Linked DNA regions of Saccharomyces cerevisiae S288C. The gene in region 1 interacts genetically with each later gene. Each region holds a gene or a part of one and is shown on either strand. Other genes may lie near its edges. The genes, in order: YKL183C-A and LAP2.

Region 1 (2,723 bases):
AGAATCAACTGCTGTTTTGCGTCTAGCGCTAGAGGAATTTTTCCCTGTAGGTTGTGGTGTTGATATAATTGCAGAGCCTGGCAGATACTTTGTAGCTACAGCGTTCACTTTGGCATCTCATGTGATTGCGAAGAGAAAACTGTCTGAGAATGAAGCAATGATTTACACTAACGATGGTGTATACGGGAACATGAATTGTATTTTATTCGATCATCAAGAGCCCCATCCAAGAACCCTTTATCATAATTTGGAATTTCATTACGACGATTTTGAATCCACTACTGCGGTCCTCGACTCTATCAACAAAACAAGATCTGAGTATCCATATAAAGTTTCCATCTGGGGACCCACATGTGATGGTTTGGATTGTATTGCCAAAGAGTATTACATGAAGCATGATGTTATAGTCGGTGATTGGTTTTATTTTCCTGCCCTGGGTGCCTACACATCATCGGCGGCTACTCAATTCAACGGCTTTGAGCAGACTGCGGATATAGTATACATAGACTCTGAACTCGATTGAAGGATATATTTAACCACGACTTTCGCAAGAGAGACGGAGGGGGTGGGAAAAGGCTGAATGCAACCATTGTCACTAAGAATTTGAGTGTTCATGAACGAGTTATACACGCTATTTAAGAGTCAGAGAATGATGATTCAAGAAAATTCTGGCATTTTTCCTGTCCACCACTGTACGCCATTGTACACAAAAGTATTTTTTTATATTTTTTTTACAATTTTTTATAATTTTTTTTTATGTTTAGTGTATATTTGCTAGAAAGAAACAAGATCTTTTTTGGTAGTGTAAATGCTTAAACTTTGTCTCTTTTTCCTTTTTACTTTGGAAAAATGCCGACGCAAGAACATAGACATCTGCGAAAACCAAAAATAAAGTACCAATTGTACATACAAAAACAGAGAAAAAGTTCATGAACAGAACGTTACTACGGTATAGCAAGATCTTTGAATACATCCATTACTTCGGATTGTTCACCATACTTCAACACAGGCCAAGATAGACCATAGCTACAGTGATAGACGAATATTTATTTCAAAAGAAGCATCAACCATAAAATAAAAAGAAAAATGATGAAAAAAAAACCAAAGTGCCAAATTGCAAGGACCAAACCATCGGTCGAAAACGTCATACCATATAACCAATTCAAGAAGACGCAGCCGCGATTCAACGGCAACTTTTCTGCACTGAATAATGAAGAATACATAATACTCTTTGGCGGAGGTCGGGACCTGATACTAGGCTCCCTGACACCTTGTTCGAGCTCTCATTTGTCCAATCAAGCCAACCCACAAGACACCAGTGAGTATGGCACAGACCTGTTTATACTCAACAGCTGCATTATCATTTGGTTCAATGGCTTGGGATATGGGCTGGAAATTCCCTACAGCAGCGTTTTGTACCATGCATCAAGACGGCTACCAGATGGTAGGGAAGGGCTTCAATTAGAAATTTTGCTGACTTTGGAAAGAGACGAAGTGTTGGACATGCTCTACCAAAGCCTCGCGCCACAGGCCTGCGAATTCGACGGCGAAGAAGCACATGCCTTCACCGTGCGCAGCGTGGAATTGACTATCAGGCCCAAATATTCAATATACGATCGCCATTATAACAACGAAATCGAAACCCTTTTCACCTTCGAAAACTTCGGCGTGAACAGGGGCGATGACCTGGTAAACAATTGTAACGAAGCACTAGCCGTATGCATGGACCTGCACGGTGAGGACGTACAAGATCAAGACCAGGAACAATACCAAGATCCAAGCATGGCGTTTGAGGGTGCGCAAGATCTCAACGCCACGTATTCTGGGCTTGGAGACACCCTTCACGGGCCGCCCGTGTATCAGAACGACGGGCTGGCAGACGATCTGGATGGCGACCTCGTTATGGACAACGTGGTCTCTAGGGGTGGTCCAGAAGCAAGTATGTCTATGGAGTTCTACGCAAATCAAAATCTTGCTGGCAGAAAGAACTCCAGAGACAATGAATGAACAACATCTATTATGGGAACATCCCGCTGTACTATGCGGTCTCGTCCTCTACGAATATGGCTATTTGCCTTCGTATATACCTTTCTATACCAAGTAATGAATGTCTTGAGGGCCCGTATGGCCGCGCGAAGGCTTAGTTAAGATGTTTCAGCAAACGGCAGCATGTGAAAAAACCCGTAGAAGGTCCGCATCAGCCTTCCATGCCCGTGCACCCACGGCTCCTCGGAGGCCGGGTTATAGCAGCGTCTGCTCCGCATCACGATACACGAGGTGCAGGCACGGTTCACTACTCCCCTGGCCTCCAACAAACGACGGCCAAAAACTTCACATGCCGCCCAGCCAAGCATAATTACGCAACAGCGATCTTTCCGTCGCACAAGTTAAAAGAAATTGTTGAAAAATACAAATAATCGCGAACAATACGTTGTTGCTATTTAACGCTTTTGGTCTGACAGTAAGTGTGCCTTTCCCAATCACCGAAAAGTGTTGAACGATTCACTGCGACAATAATCAGAGATTACAGTCGGCATTTTGGCATTTTTGGCATACTTTTTATCGATTGAACCATCTTCTCCAAACACTTTTCCTTTTTCCTTCTATTCTGCAGGACCAACTAAAACTGGGTATATATATCATTATCTATATATATAAACGGCTTTCAACAAAGTTATAGGGGAAAACTAAAAATATAAGAAAAAAAAAGGTATTGATTGATA
Region 2 (4,525 bases), on another chromosome or scaffold:
GATGCCAAAGAGGCCAGATTATCATGATACTTGGTCAGCATCGTGGGCAAATCTTGAACGGATCCACTTCCTAAGGGCAGAAAAAATTTCTGCATGGACTTGTCTTCATTAGAGACCGGTTGATATTGGTTTTCAATGCTGAAAAAGGGGAACTGCACAGCATGGGACAACCTCAGTTGCTGTCTAACTATTTCGTCCTGTATTGAGGCGGTCTCAGAGAGATATACCAAGATGGCACGAATAACATTTCTCCAGGCAGAAAACCTAGCAGACAAGACATCAGTGGGCTGCGCAGAAGTCGGTATCAGTATCGCCAGAGGGGACCTAGGATCGTTTTGGTTAGAATCATACTGCTTCTGGTGGCTATGTAAAGACATTTTTGGCAGCGTTAGCATGGAAGGGTCAGTGAAGGAACCAACATTATTGATATTGTTATTATTAATATTATTATTTTGTGATGATGGAATATTATTAGAGTTCAAAGAGTGCGTCGTATTGGTGCCAGCCGCAGCATCGACTATCGAATTTTGCCGATCGTGATCATATACGTTCAACTGAGCCGGGATAGTGGGATCGGAAGTCACAGCGTCGATAGGGTAAGGTATAGGATTGCGTTGCGCAAGCGACGAGGGTAGTGACAGGGGTATGTTCTGGCCTTTTTGTTGCTGCTGTTGATAGGCGGGATTAAAATGTTCTGACCTCATTCTGCCTTCCAGTTGTTGATATTGACTTCTGAGGTCAAGAGAGGCTCTTGCACTGTTCCGTTGGTAAGACATGGTGCAATGGACGGCTGGGTAAAGCGTATAACGCTCTCCTAAACCTTTGCTTGCGCGGTCATCTTCTCATGTAGTAGGTTGCATCGCCTTTTGATTAAAGAATGCGGCATGACCCGGAAAAAAGAGGCAGGTATTGGCTAATGACTACTACCATTATGAGTTTTTACCAGTATCAGCGCCATCATTAGGAGGATATATTAGCATTGGTGGACGTAAGAGCTCCTAAATATACAAGCATCGCCGTGATGTGTTATATATTGCAGCTTTATCTTGCTGGAGTGTCTACCGTATTTACTTCTACTTTTGGCATTTTTTTCGCCAATGCTGGCTCGAACAAGAAACTGCCTGCCATTTGAATTATTCATATATAAATACACTAATCATACGTGAGCATAGTGTGACAATTTCGGCGCAAGATATTAATGGAGCACGTATCAAAGAGGTCAATTGGGCAATTCTTTAAGAGGAAAACTTCAACTGTAGATGGAAGCAAATCACAGAAATGCGGAACCACTAACCAACTGCGGAAGCTGCTGCATAAAAGAAGGGTACAGAAGCAGGCAGTGCCGGTTGAATCCCAGTACAGAATTCCGGGTGATTTTAGGGATAATCAAAGCGTGAGAGTCAAAAACTCTATGTACAACAGCTCACCGTCAGTAACGCCATCTACGCATCATATCAATGAAAGGTATGTTCGCTATGACATCAACACAAGGCCTTTGGTTGTTGTGCTCGCGATCTCAATTGTATTTTTTGGCTGTCTCCTGGTCCTCAAGGACATCATCATCCAGTCATCAGAAAACATCCTGAGTGTTTCCAAATGGAAAATCATAGGGGCCTCCTTCATGGGTACGCCCTACACAGGTCTTCTCACGGGGCTCGTTGGCCCTCTCCTGTCACCATTTTCGGCTGTTTCGTCGTGGCTTTCATTCATCTTTTGACACAATGCGTCTTCAGTTTCCGGGGGCATTGCGTATGGAAAATCATGTCACTTTTTTTCTTCCACTTTTTCGTTTGACTTATATAAACGCACTTTAGTATAGTTTGCTTTATGTATTAGGTTATCTTGGTGTTCTAATTGATGTTCTTGCTTCCATTTGTCATTCGTCATTCCAGCTCTATTTACCTGCCCACGCTTCGATTTCGAGGTTTACTTACTGTAATCTCAAGAAACATACACATTTCCACCCCTCATAAAATGTTGCCTCTTTCAATTGAGCAGAGAAGACCTTCCCGCTCCCCCGAATACGATCAGTCTACTTTATCAAATTATAAGGACTTCGCAGTTCTTCACACCGATTTAAACCTGTCTGTTTCCTTCGAAAAGTCAGCCATTTCAGGGAGCGTTACATTCCAATTGAAAAAACTGCACGAAGGTAAAAATAAATCGGATGAATTACATCTGGATACATCCTATTTGGATGTCCAGGAGGTTCATATTGATGGTTCCAAGGCAGATTTTCAAATTGAGCAAAGAAAGGAGCCATTGGGCTCCAGGTTAGTCATCAATAACGCTTCTTGCAACGATAACTTTACCTTGAATATTCAATTTCGTACGACTGACAAGTGCACCGCTTTGCAATGGTTGAACAGCAAGCAAACCAAGGGCGGTAAACCGTACGTGTTTTCACAGTTGGAAGCTATTCATGCGAGGTCTTTGTTCCCCTGCTTTGATACTCCCTCTGTGAAGTCTACTTTCACTGCATCTATCGAGTCCCCACTACCAGTGGTTTTTTCAGGCATCAGGATTGAAGATACAAGCAAGGATACTAATATTTACAGATTTGAACAGAAAGTCCCTATCCCAGCCTACCTGATCGGTATTGCTTCCGGTGATTTGTCAAGCGCTCCAATTGGACCTCGTTCCACAGTTTACACTGAACCATTTCGTTTGAAAGATTGTCAATGGGAATTTGAAAACGATGTAGAGAAATTCATTCAAACTGCAGAGAAAATTATCTTTGAATACGAGTGGGGCACTTATGATATCTTAGTTAACGTCGATTCGTACCCTTACGGCGGTATGGAGTCTCCGAATATGACTTTTGCTACGCCCACCTTGATTGCACATGACAGATCCAACATTGATGTCATCGCCCATGAACTTGCTCACTCATGGTCTGGTAACTTAGTGACCAATTGTTCGTGGAATCATTTTTGGTTGAATGAAGGTTGGACCGTTTACTTAGAAAGAAGAATTATTGGTGCCATTCATGGCGAACCAACTAGACATTTCAGTGCTCTGATTGGTTGGAGCGATTTGCAGAATTCTATTGATTCTATGAAAGATCCTGAAAGATTTTCCACTTTGGTACAAAACTTGAACGATAACACTGACCCTGACGATGCCTTTTCCACTGTTCCGTACGAAAAGGGGTTCAACTTACTATTTCACTTGGAAACTATTTTGGGTGGTAAGGCTGAATTTGATCCATTTATTAGACACTATTTCAAGAAGTTTGCCAAAAAATCATTGGATACTTTCCAGTTTTTGGATACTTTGTATGAGTTCTATCCCGAAAAGAAAGAAATTTTGGATTCCGTTGACTGGGAAACTTGGCTGTATAAACCAGGTATGCCACCAAGGCCTCATTTTATTACGGCTTTGGCTGATAATGTTTATCAATTGGCTGACAAGTGGGTCGAAATGGCTCAACATTTGAAAACCACAGAGGATTTCCGGTCTGAATTTAACGCTATTGACATTAAGGATTTTAATTCAAATCAATTGGTTTTGTTCTTGGAAACTTTGACACAAAATGGCCATTCCAACAAGAAACCAAAAGATTTTGACTGGGCCAAGTTTCCCGTGGCATCTAGGGCACTGTTAGATATCTATCAAGATAACATTGTTAAATCACAGAACGCGGAAGTTGTTTTCAAGATGTTCAAATTTCAGATCTTTGCCAAGCTGCAAGAAGAATATAAGCATTTGGCCGATTGGTTGGGAACTGTAGGTAGAATGAAGTTTGTCCGTCCCGGTTACAGACTATTAAACTCTGTAGACCGTCGATTGGCACTTGCAACTTTCGACAAATTCAAGGACACGTATCATCCAATCTGTAAAGCTCTTGTGAAACAAGATTTAGGTCTTTGAAAAGGGACGTGTCGTAACATGAATACGTAAACAATTAAATATAACCTACTAATGAGCCTTCATTGCTACTTCTCTGGTTCTAATTAGTGGCGGAGTTCTGTGTCGTGCGATACGAATTTTGCACTTTTGTCACATGCAATCGAGGCAAAAAGAAAAAATAAATAATAACAACGAATATAAATACAAATCGAAAGAATTCAGATTGAATTCAATATTGCAGGGCTTTGAACACTGAGTTTGGAACTATCAGCCGTCAAATACGCATAAAATAACATCAAATACTCCAATAATGAATCAGTTAGGAGCTTTAGCCGTAAGTTCTAAATTGTAAACACATTTGCATCATTGAAAAACTATACTAACGCGTTAACCTTTTTTCTATATTTCTATAGCAAGTTTCACGTTTCACTCAAAACTTCTCCATGGAAAATATTAAGAGCGAGTTCCAATCCTTGCAATCTAAATTAGCAACCCTTCGCACCCCGCAAGAATTTTTCAATTTCAAGAAAATTTCCAAACCTCAAAACTTTGGGGAAGTTCAATCCAGAGTGGCGTATAACCTGAAGTACTTTTCCAGTAACTATGGTTTGATTATTGGTTGTTTGAGCATTTACACATTATTAACAAACTTGTTGCTACTCTTTGTTATTGT

Evidence for each region.
Region 2: mutations in YKL183C-A (region 1) and LAP2 together harm fitness more than expected from each alone (negative genetic interaction), as found in Saccharomyces cerevisiae (one large-scale study listed by BioGRID).

The regions. Positions count from the first base shown.
Region 1 is NC_001143.9:97,635-100,357, forward strand, and holds YKL183C-A (uncharacterized protein), read right to left. Parts: upstream 974-2,723; coding exon 761-973; downstream 1-760. Other genes in the region: ornithine decarboxylase SPE1, read left to right, coding at 1-523; LOT5 (Lot5p), read left to right, coding at 1,087-2,007.
Region 2 is NC_001146.8:541,106-545,630, forward strand, and holds LAP2 (bifunctional aminopeptidase/epoxide hydrolase), read left to right. Parts: upstream 1-1,857; coding exon 1,858-3,873; downstream 3,874-4,525. Other genes in the region: SLM2 (phosphatidylinositol 4,5-bisphosphate-binding protein), read right to left, coding at 1-776; YNL046W (uncharacterized protein), read left to right, coding at 1,199-1,717; YIP3 (Yip3p), read left to right, coding at 4,163-4,186, 4,266-4,525. UniProt on the Saccharomyces cerevisiae protein: Aminopeptidase that preferentially cleaves di- and tripeptides. Also has low epoxide hydrolase activity (in vitro).